2 linked regions of the Daphnia pulex genome follow. The protein of the gene in region 2 purifies or fractionates together with the protein of the main gene of each other region. This does not show direct contact. Links are inferred from orthologs where the notes say so. Each region holds a gene or a part of one and is shown on either strand. Other genes may lie near its edges. The genes, in order: ubiquitin carboxyl-terminal hydrolase 32-like and high affinity copper uptake protein 1-like.

The links.
Region 1: the proteins of high affinity copper uptake protein 1-like (region 2) and ubiquitin carboxyl-terminal hydrolase 32-like purify together in Homo sapiens (co-immunoprecipitation; 3 studies listed by BioGRID and IntAct, with this or other methods). This does not show direct contact. The link is inferred for Daphnia pulex from reciprocal best matches to the Homo sapiens genes SLC31A1 and USP32.

What each region holds. Positions count from the first base shown.
Region 1 is NC_060026.1:7,321,190-7,327,965, forward strand, and holds the end of ubiquitin carboxyl-terminal hydrolase 32-like, read right to left. Parts: intron 6,728-6,776; coding exon 6,622-6,727; intron 6,555-6,621; coding exon 6,381-6,554; intron 6,323-6,380; coding exon 6,148-6,322; intron 6,077-6,147; coding exon 5,925-6,076; intron 5,854-5,924; coding exon 5,545-5,853; intron 5,073-5,544; coding exon 4,827-5,072; intron 4,764-4,826; coding exon 4,513-4,763; intron 4,454-4,512; coding exon 4,210-4,453; intron 4,154-4,209; coding exon 3,962-4,153; intron 3,831-3,961; coding exon 3,399-3,830; intron 3,332-3,398; coding exon 3,239-3,331; intron 3,180-3,238; coding exon 2,970-3,179; 3' UTR 2,511-2,969; coding exon of another isoform or gene 2,407-2,510; 3' UTR 2,290-2,406; downstream 1-2,289. Other genes in the region: probable 39S ribosomal protein L24, mitochondrial, read left to right, coding at 1,218-1,310, 1,443-1,510, 1,589-1,700, 1,758-1,817, 1,886-2,028, 2,093-2,229, 2,407-2,510. UniProt on the Homo sapiens protein: Deubiquitinase that can remove conjugated ubiquitin from target proteins, such as RAB7A and LAMTOR1.
Region 2 is NC_060017.1:8,209,938-8,217,167, reverse strand, and holds high affinity copper uptake protein 1-like, read right to left. Parts: upstream 2,079-7,230; 5' UTR 2,011-2,078; intron 1,946-2,010; 5' UTR 1,938-1,945; coding exon 1,767-1,937; intron 1,694-1,766; coding exon 1,560-1,693; intron 1,486-1,559; coding exon 1,378-1,485; intron 1,293-1,377; coding exon 1,085-1,292; 3' UTR 884-1,084; downstream 1-883. Other genes in the region: uncharacterized protein LOC124193369, read left to right, coding at 6,799-6,856, 6,947-6,968.

The sequences.
Region 1 (6,776 bases), on a different chromosome or scaffold from region 2:
CTTGAATTGCCGCTTTATTTGCCGTTTCTTTTTTATACCAAAAGCACTTTAATTCAGACAACGGGCGATGGTAGAGAAATTATATAGTCAACCTAGGTTACGAAGAGATAAGTAAAGGTGAACTCTTGGAAGATTTATATCATCGCTTAAATGTTATTTCTCTAAAAGTTCCATCTTTAAGAATATCATAGCTGATGTCTTACAACTGTCAATTTTCCTAACTGCAGTAATCATTTTAATACCAGAAAAGCTGCAGCATTTTTCTTTTGGTGTTGGAACTACTAGGAAATGGTTTCCAATCTGAAAGTGAAAACTTAGTATTATTAGACTATTTATTTCAAATTTAAAGTTTTAACCTACAAACCTTCATCAAAGTCAGTACACAAGGAATGTTCTCTGTGTTTAGTCTCTTGGTATCATAAGGATCATCTGAGAGCTCCACATCAGGTTGATATCCGTCCATGGTTGCTATTTTAATAGATGGAATTTGTGTTGCAAAAAAAGAGCCGATTTCTCAGCCAATGACACTGCATCATAAGGGTTCCCTCCACATTCAAGAATCTATTTTAATGCCATTAAAATGTTTCATGAGAATTTGTTGATTGGTGGAAATATCACATCAGCTATACCAATATGTCAACATACATGACCCAACATTGCTGTGTCGTGTCAATAAAGAAAGTTGTCACACCCCATACTTTCGAGTCAAACTCGCGCGTGGGTTTTTAATTTTTGGGGCAGATTCATTTCGGTTAGCAATTTTTTTTCCCGTTCCTATTGTTATGGGCTTTTTTTTATTCCCTATAAAACGATTAATCGAACAAAAACATCGAACCCAAAGCTAAAAAGACACAAACTCCGCAAAAAAAAACCCTATCGGGAAACTCGCGCGCGAAGCAAGGGATCGGCATACAATCATGTTTCATACATATCAAAACTTATTCTTCTAAAGCACTGAAAATCAACAATCTCCGAGTCTATGACAGTAATGACAGGCATGCTTAACAATAGTTCTAAAGATTTCCACGTGAGGCGCTACTGACGCCCTGACGGTTTATACATGGTCTATATCTGGCGGGCCTGGGCCCGACAGAAGAATATTATAACCGATCCAGTACCGCCGGTAGCGCCGATACCATCCTACTGATCCTAGAATAAAATAAACCACATTGAAAACACAAACTGATATATATTTTTGTTACAAAAACCTACAAAAAATGAGGCTTACCTTAATATTATCCAAAATAGGGAAATATTCTACCGAATATTCTAATCTCCCTGAATCGTACATTAAAAGAGCTATGAAGCAAGTAAGATTTTTAATAAATTACGTCCATCCTAAACTCAAGATCTTAACTTAATTTTTCAAATGGTTATCATCTTGTGTAATATACAGTAAGTACATATCTATGTTTCATTTGATTATTTTATTTTAATCATAGGTTTATTGGGAAGCACCAAAAGACATACCACAGTATCTGCCTGTAACCCTGGAAAAGAAAAAATTCAGGTATTCCCTTCATGCAAATGAAAAAAATTTTATTGTCAGAAAACAGTCGTACAATTAGTTTGTGTTTTCAATTTGCAGGTATACAATGAACCGACCATGGACAGAGGAGTTTCGAAGACAAAATCTTGCAAAGAGAAAAAAGGTCTTTGTGGAACCAATTAAAGAGTGGGCATTTTTTAGAGGAGACAGGGTAAATTGACAAATTCACCTTATTAAAATAAAAAATCATTGTGTGTATCTGAATTAGGTTGAAGTCTTGGTCGGAAAAGATAAAGGAAAAATAGGTTTAGTAAATCAAATCATTGAGGTAATAATCATTAAGAATTATTTTGTATATATGAAAAATATGTATGTTATTTATTTATCTTTACTTAGGAAAGAAATTGGGTAGTTGTCGAAGGCTTAAATGTGCATTACAGACGAATCGGTAGGACAGAAGATTTCCCTGGTACAATGGTTCAGTCTGAAGCACCCCTCTTGGTTACCAATGAGGTTGCATTGGTTGATCCTTCTGATGAGTAAGAATTTCATTAAATAGTAGTTTCCTGTTAATGATACTATACTAATGATATTCTGGAGTAGTAAAGGCACTAAAGTGGAATGGCGGTTTACGGAACAAGGAGAAAAAGTAAGAGTTTCTCAAAGAACAGGGCATATAATACCCATTCCGTTGTCAGCTTCGGAGACCATTGATTTTAAAACAAGAGCTGGATACCCAGGTAAACGGTCTTTATCATTTTTCAACATACAGAATGCAATCACAACATTGATCAGCAAAATTATCAGAAGGTGTACATATATATTTACGCATCATTTATATTTTAAATTGCACAAGACGCGTAAAATCACGGAATATTTTTAAAGAATGAAACGCTATACATGCATTGATTTTACAGAGCAAGAAAAAGACACACGGGCCGCAGACGTATCCGAAAATACCTACGTCCCACAAAGCAAAACATTTGAAATGGACTTAATGGAGCATTACAAACTGGAATGAAGTCAGTTGCTTGCGTGTCACTGTAGCAAAATTGTTTGAATATAAAAGAAATAATGCCCACAGTTAAATGTCCACGTTCGTACCTGTTTGCGAATTTTCACGAGTGCACCGCGATATATATGTTAACACGAGTTTTGGTAAACTGGGAACAAAGGCACAAGAAAACAATAAGCAACGACTATCGGCCAAAATCAAATCAATAATAACATTCATAACAGAGGGGGGAAAAGATAACATTACAGACAACTACATATGGACTTGCACTATCCTACCGACACATTTTTCGACAGAGATAGTTATGATGGTGCATGGCACCTCGAGAATCAATCATACAAACCACTTACTGGTTGAAATGTTTGACCTTTGCGAGTGACTAGAGCGCGATCATGCCTATTTCGCTCTGAGGTGAAACTCGATACTTAAGACTGGAATATTAGGGCTAAATAGGTCAATAATGCATCACATGATGCAGCACTTTTTGCCATCTTCTTCTTCCAATCCAATCACTGCCGGTGTCCCTTTCCCTGCAGTAGAGTCACTATTTGCGCTCTCGGCTGAACTGGTACTCGGCTCCCGTAATTTGGGAAGATACGCCTTCATGTCAATTCCATCTCTTTCAAAAAACAACATGTAGGCTGTCTGTCCTTCGATTTGATTGGCCGATGATTCCTTGTAGTAAAAAAATTTAAACTTCACTGCTTACAATTTCTTTTATGAAAAATTCTTACCTTGCATGTTGAGTCGTTGTAGTAGAACCATTTACCGTTAGGATTTTTGGCATAAGAAATATAGTGACCTCCTCCCATGATTCCAGAATGACACTAGAAAGAGAAGCATAAATTTGATCAATCGTTATTTAAGAGTTTCAAGTCGTGCAATTTAAATTACCACAGCGGCGTAAAGGCTGTAGGTTATGTCCAGCTTATTGTATCCTGGTAGAAGTCGATGTTGATGAAAGTCTATAAGATCCTCGTCGTGAACTGGATGAGTCATTAGCGAGGTGGACTCGAGTCGTTTGCGAGTCGATTCATTGCCGTTGATCACTTCCGAAAGATTTGGTGGATGCCCGTTGGAATATGAAGTGGACGAAGTGGAAAGCTTAGGATTCATATCATCACCATTAGATTCGTCGTTAGCAGAGTCGACGATCCCGTTGGGAGGTGTGGAAGAAGCAACTTTTTGGCGGTGACGGACTAGCGTTTCGCTAGGAATAGCTGCTAAAAACTCAGTGAAATCCAAGTTGTTATGTGGAAATTGAACGGCCTTGTGAGACTTAATCCAACGATGATTTACAAACTGGAAACGTTTCAGATGAACAATCTAAAAAATGAATGAATTCATTAAATTAAAATTAATAAATACTAAAATACTAAATTATATTTGTAAAATGGACGTTCATTCATGCACATTTATGGCAACAACAAAATAACAGGAAAAAATATTAATCTTACCAGAATTGGAGGAAGTCTCCATATTTGTAGTTTTTTAGTAGCTGGCTGATGAGTGGCACATTTTGGACAGTAATATTTTTCGTCACCTGAAAGCTGTTCCTCTCGTGTGAAAGCTTGCAAACACTGTTCTAAACTGACTGGTTCAGTTTGTTGATGAACCGCTTTAGCTACGCTGGGATCTTCGTCAAAAACCTATAATGAATCTCGTTAAAAGAAGCGAACCTTAAATATTTGGAAATCAAGCTTGCCTTTTCAAGCGATGTTTGATAGCGAAGATGAAGGGCCGTCGGCTCCCAGTCAACGGCGATACAGTAATTAAGGACGCCTTCGACTGCTGGCGAATTGGTCTCACTACCGTTCGGTAGAGGGTCAGGTGTCGGTGGCAGCGGGCATCCTTTACAGAATTTGGTCCACGGGCACAGGCCACAATGGATTCCATTGGCCTGGACAACTTTTAGAGTGAAAGGGAACTCGTAGCCCAGACTGTCATCGCTAAATATAACACGTTTAAGTTCAAGATTTCACGAAATCATCTAATATAGCGAATTTACCAGTCATGGGCGTGATTCGGAAGAGTGCCACTATCAGTTGGTGGAGAAGGCGAGACCAGTCGAGAGACCAGTGTCCACACACATCTATACAAGTCTTGACTCGTGGTCTGTAGCAATAACACTTTGCTGCTTTCGTCTCCTGGATGAGATGAAACCCCATCCGTAGTCCATGCTAAAGGGACCAATAGTGGTAGACCGAAGAGACTAGGCCGCGTTTTGTGTGGAGAGACGAAATAGAGATCTTGTCGTATCTAGAAAATTACAAACAAGTTAAACAGACAAAAAAACTGGAAACATTTTGAATTTTAAGAGACCATTTTTCGATGGTAGACGACCAGAAAAGAGGCTCCCATTCCCAGAGCGCCGTTTAGTTCTTGAGCGCTACTGTTATTACTCGTGAGACTAACTGGGCTGCCCAAACCACCGCTGCCACTGCTCGTGCTGGCCAAACTAGAGCGATCACCACCGTTTCGGTCTTCATTGGTTCCACCGTTTGTTGTTGGACGATCAGCAGGTGACCGTGGTGGCAGGGATTCCTGTCCGACGGTTGACGAACCATTCTAATAATCAATTACATAGAATAATTCAGTAACTTAAATATCTCACATTTAGCTTAACTTGATGAACTGATCAAAACGAAAAACGATAAACAAATAACGACGTAAAACAGGTATTCGAAAAAACACAACTAGACATCCCAATCCATTCCATGTGAGATGAATTAACACACATTAAGGGGTTAATCTACAATAGAACTTCAAACCTTGATACACGATTGAATTCCAAAAGGTTTCAACATATGATAAAAAAGACGTTATACAATCTTAATTTTGAACCACTAAATAGGATTACAAAGAAATAGCAGAGATAAGTCAACATGAGACAAGAGTTGGGTAAGGAAACAAACATCCACGACCATTTAGTTGGCAAGTACTAACGAACAAAAGCAGGGAGAATTAACAAAGGACACAAGGGAAATAAGCAAAAAATAAAAAAAGGAAAGAAATAATAATGATGGTAAGAGGCGAATACCTTTCTACAGAATACGGTGCTCATCACGTTCATGCAGATACCGACGGGTCGTCTTACCTCCGAGCTGGTGTTTGTGTTGCCGCCCTCTTTGATATGAAAGACTTTCGCTGCTTGGTTATTGGAATGATCAGCTAGTTTGTTGTTGTTCGGACTGGACTGATCTTTGGCACCTTCTTCGCCGTCTACAAGGCCGATATGGCCACCATTTGTGGGAAGAAGATGGATGACCTCAGAAGAGTTCAGCACTTGATACGCGAATAAGGCAAAGCCAGACGTAGGTCGAACCTTGTTGCTAACCCCCGGAAAGCTCTGCATCACGTAGTAAATTTCCATGAGTATGAAAATATTTGATTTAACTAGTAATGTTTGATTTAACTTGCCTTAATCATTGCCCCTGATACTTCTGCAAGTAAAAGATGATCGTAGGAGACCTGGCACAAAGCGGCGAGTCTTTCTTTAAGTAGCAGATAAGTGGCATCCATCGGCAAACGAAGACCATATTTTACTGGAACTGATCCGTCCAAACGAACCACTGTTCGGCAAACGAAAACCATTGTGATATCAACTAAGTATTAATTTTTTTATTATGTGAAAAAAGCTTACCAACAACTTCGACATGAACGTAACTTTCGAGAGGTAGAGGTAGTGACAAGTAATTGAATGGGTCAAAGCGTACGCTTTCACGCTGACACACTCCGCATGTTACTTTCGATTTCAGTTGTCCATGGAAGAGCTCTACAACAATCGAACGGTTTCGCAAAAGATGGTTCTCCCACGCCTGAAATTGAAGTCAATCATAAAGAAGGACGATAAACTAAAAATTATAAAGTGACAACCTCTTGGGCTACAACAATATCCGGGCGTCCTTCACTGTCGCTTAATTCCACGTATGGCTTATCATGAACTCGATTCAAATCTTCGTGAAGACCGTCGAGCAGGAATGCCAAAAGCTCCTGAGCATCGTGTTGCTGATAACCGTTGAATCTCGGAGCGTATTTACCAATCGTCCACTATTTTCAGAGAAAGATTTTTTTTTTTTTTATGTGTTAACAATTTTTCAACCAATATAATTTTTACCCGTAAGCGAAGCGGGGCAATCGTGCGAGATCTTCCTTTCCAAATGTCACGAATCAAGTCTCCGTAATCCTTTGCGATATTGCCTTTCATTCCAAGGGGGTTATCTCTTTGAAATGTTAACGAAAAGTATGTAAATATTGTTAAAGTATCGAAAA
Region 2 (7,230 bases):
AACCTTTGTTACGTGTACTGGCCATTCAACCATTACAAACTTGTTGCGTTACGTATCTTGTTCTTTTTTTTTCTTTTTTCCTTATTTTTTGTGTGTCCTCTCGTTTGTATTTTTCCCTCCTTTTTCTCAATGATGATGCGCCACCCATTTTCTGTCTTGATTTCATCCTCTTCTTATTTTGTCTCCACAATCGTCTTCTTCTTTCAGTGGAAATCGAAATGTAGAATAAGGCAAAATTGTCCTTCCTGCTCCACCCCCCCCCCCTCCTCCTCATCGTAGATTTAAGTTTATTCAAATTACCATTTTTTTTTCTTTTCAATTGGAATTCAATGCAAGAACCCCTTGACCACCACCAACGTCTCCTCCACATGCGCCCGAATATCTCTTCTAAACACACTTCCCCAAGCTCCCGCCTCCCTTTTTTAATTATTATTATAATTAAGTGTAATCGAATGTAAATACTTGTGTAACACGTAGGACTCAAAATTGTCTGAAACCACGAAATGTCGTCATTGGAAACGTTCAAGGGTACTCGTTGACAGTGTAGACGCTTTCGAAAGAAAAAAACAAAACAAAATATTGAAGAAAAAGAAAAAATTGATGACAAAAAAATACTTGATTACAAAAGTCTTATGTTTTTCCTCTTTCTCTTTCTGCCCTCTTATCATTCATTTGAAATAAAGAAAATTTGAGAAAAAAACAAACAATTAACCTTATAAAAACCAGCACAAATAAAAATTTGCTGAATTCCTGTTTGTTTAAAATTCTTGGAAAATTGACACGTTGTGGCAATGATATTGTGTCGTGTCCTTGGATTTATTATTATTAACTTTTTTTTTTCCTGAAATGTGGTTTTCATTTACATACACAACTTAGCCATTGATGCTGCTAAAATGTCTCATTTATTCGAATTGTCGAGTAGTCATACCGACTAATATAATCCCATAATAACAACGGTCATTAATCCAATCGAATGGAATACAACCAAATAATTCCCCATGACACAAGTGACAAAATGTACACACACTTGATCCCGTTGATCCGTGGAAGGAGAGGAAACGTCATCATCAACTGCATCATTTTTCTAATGACAATGTTCTGTAATATCGACGAGAAATCCTTTGCGCCAGCCGAAGAAAAAGTAGCCGACGGTGCAGCCCAAAACGACGGCCATGAAGAGCCACACGTTGTAGGTCATGACGATCAACATGAGCAAATAGGAAATGATCATCTGGAGAAGATGTAAAGCCGTTTGAATGTAATGGGACGCACTGGTCACGCTCGTCTTGAAGCTGATTGGAGGAAAGACAAAAGCATTTAGAACACAAATCTCGTCTTACATTTAGAATTCGGAATATCGGTTCGGTGTAGTAGTACCTCATTGGCGTCCTATTGACTTGACTAGAAGTCTCACTGCCGGCCTCACCGGGAGTTTTGACATTGTTGTAAGTGACGGATGTATAATGTTTGCTACTCAGGTACTCACTGGGCAGAAATAAAAGATAATATTTAATTATTTCGATCAATGGTTGCAATAGTTAAAAAAAAAGATAAATTACCGGAAATATTTCAATCCTTCGTAAAGGATTCCCATCAGGAAAATGCCGATACAAGAACCGACCATAGCACCGACAGTTTGAATGTCCCATCCCTGGAACAGGACAACGGCCTTGTAATCTGCGTAAAAGTACATCTGCGAGAGAGATATAAGAGCTAGGTTAATTATAGTTTCGATTCCAAATTAAAAAAAAGAGATTTAAAAATACCTGCATCATCATCATCATTCCACTGTTTGGTGAGGCGTGATTATGTCCAGCGGTTTCGGCAACCATGGCTGCGTGGTCGTGCATTGTAGTGGTTTCCATGCTGGCACCGTGCGCGCCCATGTCGTGTCCATCGTGGCCCATATTGTGATGATCGTGGTGATCGTGAGACATTTTATTTTCTGTAACCAAAATAAACCAAAACAACAACGTTACCAAATGTAAACAACAACGTTTCAATTTCGACCTTGGAGAAACTTTAGGGCATATGCAACTGGCTTACGTATACGACTTTCTCGAGGGACGAATGGCAAACAACTACTGGAAAATAGGAAAGATGTGTGTGAAACCAAAAGTGACCCAACAACCGGGTTTTCCCTTTTCAAACAAATGAGGAGTGAGGAAAGTTAGCTCCAGGGGTTTTCAAGTGAAAGGCAATAACTTTCGCTCATTTTGTAAACATTGCGCGGAAAAAAAAAGTTGCACTTTCTACACAAGATTTTATCACATTTCCCCGTGGTTATTTCGTTTTGCAAAGTTATTGAACTCGATTTGCCAAAAAAAATTCGTTGAGAAAACGTGTGAAAATGTGCCTGGGCTCTCACCTGAATGTTACCAGTAGTGCTGCACGATCGGCTCCCAAATTGAGTCTACCAAGGATTTGGCACTGGGGCTGAGATAGAAAAGACAAGTGCTGACGCCCATCGGCAGTTGGAGGCGTCGCTTATATAGGATACCGCCGCGGTGGCGCGCGTGATTAGACCGGGCATACCGTTATCGCTCATCTCCGATGATAACAACAGGTTAATCTTAATCTCAGCACTGGACCAAAAAAATGTTGTTGCAGGAAAACAGGTTTTGATGAGCCTTTAATTTCAAGACGAAAGAGGATCAGTGCGTCCCATTACATTCAAATGACTCGCAATCCAGTCCACCTAGCGGACCATTACATCAGAAATGGGCGAAGCTAAAGGGAGAAGACTAGGACTCGGGGCTCTATTTTTAAAACTTTTTTGGCATTTCGGCAGCAAGAAAAAAATAAATCTCAACAAATATAATGTCGACCAAGACACTTTGGGTTGATGGGGGCACCAGGCGGCTAAACTAAAAATATGGGCCATTGGGACCAGTTTCCGGAATTCTACAGAATGAATTACAAATAATTCCGAGTAGAGTAATAATCCAAAATGTAGTCCATCCTGGATGTCTGTATTCCCTAGTCGCGATATTGGATCGGCTGGCGATGAAAAATGGAAAAATAGTTTTGTGCGTTTTGTGGTTTAAGGTTCACTCTCAGCTGATCCGCCATCACCGGACGCCCCGAGTTCGTCCCGGCGTTGGGGGGATACGACCCCCCCACTCCCGATCACCACCAGTCGCTCCACCCGTCGTACACTCGCCGCCCTTCTTTCTCTCCTACTATCTCGGCTCATGTTTTGTTAAAAATAATAACCACACAAGACGTGACGTCAGGGAAGTGCCGGCAGCAATGGGACCGACGTGCCGTGCGCAGAACAGGTACAACCGGGTCACTCTAACACGAAACTAGACGCTAGCGAATGAATTTTAATTTAATTGGCGGCAATGCAAATCGATTTGCGGCAAAATTAAATGGCAAATCATTCGTTTCGATTATTACGAATTTTCAACTTTTAATTTCATTTGAATTTTCATTTCTATAGGCGGGAAGTCGGAGGTTTGAATTTAGTCGTTTACCGAGTATGAGAGCAGTGCCGTGCGCAAAGTATGATCCTTGGACGGACGAAAGTCGATAGGGAGGAGGATGTAACCGTCAGACGGTCGTGCCGTGCGCATTAAACGCGTTCGATATCGAACAGAGAGCGGTCGGCCTGACGTGAGAGCCGCCTACGTGATCCTTCCTACACAGCACCCGATCCGTACATTGAACAATATACCAGTTGCACATACCGATTCGCCCCTTTTTTTTCCTTTCTCATCTCGTTAAACTTTGACCGCAAAATAACAACCGTCGCTATATTACACCAAGCCCAGTAACAATTATCTATATAGCTAGTCATTTGTGCAAACAATCTTGTTATTTTCAGTACAACCATCACGGCTATAAAATAGTTGATGGAATAGAATTAATTATGAGGATATCCGGATACACTTGAAATGCTTATACACGAACCGATGATCCTCTTATTGTTTGACGGGTGCATCATCCAAGCCAAGGTTAAAGCATTTTTGTCATTACATAAAAGACATTCTTGACGGTATTGTCCATTCCTTAATCAAATTCCTGAAATGTCTTTTCCTTTATTGTCAGCCGACTCAATATGACCCCGAAAATAAATCGATGAATGAAAGTGATCGTTTAATAACTTTAAGAACAGCGCAAAAATGATTTCGTGTTATTTAATGTCAAAATATTTAACTTTGAATATCTCATTTGTTTTTTTTTGCCACTCTGAGACAGTCCAATCCAATCTAGATCCTTTTTGTCACATCGACAAATTTCAATCAGATTTGCGAAATTAATCCAAGGTCGCTCCATGATTTATAAAGAGACTCGGTATCATTTATTTATTGCGACAGCACGATCACGATTTGTTTTCCTCTTCAGATTGCGTGAAACTTGAACGTTTAATTTTCACGAAATGTTCCCGCTCAACTCCGCCATCTTTTGTTGGGAAAAGAAAGCTCATTCAGCCCAATTTGAAACTTTGAATTCTACTGGAATTATTGGCCACCATGAAAGGATGACAAGATTGAATTATTTCAGTTGGGACAGTCTTCATCTCGGCTAAATTTCCCAATTAATTTTTTGGAAAAAAACAATTTGCATTAACTATGCATGACGTCATTAGATTTAGATGGGCATTGTGTTGATTCGATGGACAAGAGCAAAACGAGTTTTTGTGATCGATCTCCACACGAACGCGCAACACAAACAGAAATGAATCCTCCACCTGCATCGCAACAACCTTCAAACTGAAGAAGTCATCAGCTAATAAAATCATTTCTTTTGTTTGGCTCTTTATTTCTGCGTTCATCGGTCATCTGCCCTTTGCAGAAATAACCACACCCGGATTGTCTCTGAAAATAAATTAATTTGCGTGCAAATGCCCGGGATAAATAAAACGCATCATCTCTGCTATAGAAAAAAACCGGCCGTTTTACATCCAATGAACGTCCTTTTACCATCTATGAAAATCTAAAATAGATTGACATGGAACTAACCCATCATCCATCTACAATGAACGTTGTTTGGTAGGTAACATTGCGTTAATTGTGTTGCTAGGAGCAGATGGCCAACAAATGAGCGCTCATCCCAACAATTCTGTAAAAAAGATGCCTTAACAACTGGAGGTCTGCTATTGTGTTTAACCACATCAATTTTAAACTCGTAAAAAGAAATTGTATTGAAATCATTGAGATAACACATTGTTTTCATCTGCTCGCCCAACTACTACCCCTACGCCGGTTTGAACTACCGCGCTGGATTCCCCTACACTTACGGCGCTCCTTTCACCTACCCATTCGTCCAGGCGACCGCTGCTCCCGCTGCTGTGGTTTAAAATATTTGATCTGACTCAGTTAATGTTTACTTTTTGATATCGTTTTGTTACATCAGTAAATTTTTTTGTAATTATTTTGCATTCAATAAAAACTATTAATGAAATTCTTTTGGCATTTTGGTGACATATATCCTGCCGTTGATAAACAATCGTGAACAATGACATAGAAGCATAGTCAAGTTGTATCGAAGTTAAGCGTGATCGTCGGTCAATGGTGACCCTTCGAAATGACAGGCAGCAGAATCAATTCTAGGTGTCATAACATACTAGATAAACAAATTGACAGGCAAGTTCCTCTCATTTTTTAAAACAGTATATCAACTGATAATTCTCAAATATGAAATCATTCTAATTAACTGCTAAAATCAGCAACCAGTAGAAGAAAAGGGTCGTCTGCTCTTGTTTTGTTTAAAAAAAAACGAGAAACGAGATAAAGTGTGATGACACTCGAAATTCAGCTGAAGGTAAAATTCAATTTGACATGATTAAGTCTATTGCTAATGTATGTTTTAATTGTTTAAAGTCATTCGAAAGTCATTCGAAAGCAATCGTGTATTTGCGAAAACATCTTGGTAAACACAAAATTTCCTATTTGCTCTTTTTTGCTTATAGAAAAGTTACAACATTTTTGAATTGGAAAGTCATTTATTAATTAAGTTGTAAAACTAATTACACAAGTTGTTTGTCAACAAATCATTCCATTGTTCTTCCTGCAAGAAAATCACAAGTTTATGAGGAAAACAATGACGTTGAATTAGAAAACATGGTAAACCTAACATTTTCAAATGTTATTGCAAGTTTTTAGTTTTCTTTAATTTTTTCATGCTGCATTGTACAACCCTTTGAAATATTTATTTAACTTTAAATGCTCTGGTTTTCTTAGAGGGAACAACAAATGGAATGTTTGACGAAAAACATTAAACTATGTTTCACAATTTATTAATGAATAATTTTTTTTTTTAAATACAATAATGTTATAACTATAATCTCTAAAAGCAAAGTGCAAATAACAAATTTTATTACCAAGAAGGTCCTGCCGCCACACCGGCACCTCCTGTTTTAAAAATTAATGGTTATGTGTTTATCAGACTTTATTGCAGAGCGGAAGAAAACGAACGATGTGCTAGCTAGCCCTTTCGATTTCGTTATTTCGATTACAGCCGTTTGGTTTCCAGCTGAAAAAATATCCTGTAGTACTTTTTTGGCGTGAAACGGTTGTGTAGCTGACGAATCGAGAAATTGACATTGGCGAACCTTTTTTCTCACGAATCCCACCCATTTCACTCCTCAGCCACTTTGCTGATATGTCCAAAACAAATGCGGGTCCAGCAACAGTCCTTTTACAGCGGGAACACACCAAATGAATTTTGTCTTTAACAAAATTCGAGTTTTTTCCAGATTAAAGCTCAAAGTAAAATATTGCGGAACATGGGTGTGGTTGAATCAGCCAAGGGTAAAAGCGAAAACGGGATTCACCAGGTGTATCCTATCCCATGGATACACCGGGCGGGATGACTGCTCGCATAACCTCTCGTCAAACGAGATTTCAAGGTTATTTAGCATCCTTTAGTGAAAGGAATGGATTTGACCGTGAAATTTAAAAATAAAATAATATGCGGAAGTTTTTTCTCACAATTCAAGTAAAGGGTGTAGTCTTTTGCCCAACGGTGTTGTTTTTTAACCTTCTCTCTACTTCTGAGAATGTTTTCTTTCAATGTTGCTTCAACGTATTGTGTGATACGTATGTCAACGTTTGTTCTCCCCCCCTTTTCTTGAGTCGAGACTAGTGTCGTCTTGCTTGCTACTCACTCACTCTCTTTTGTCTCAACAAAGAATGCAGTTCATTCTTTCTTAGCACCAAAGTGTTTCAACTAAACTAAAAGGTATTGCACCATAGTTTCTAATCTCAACAGGTTATGGGCCCA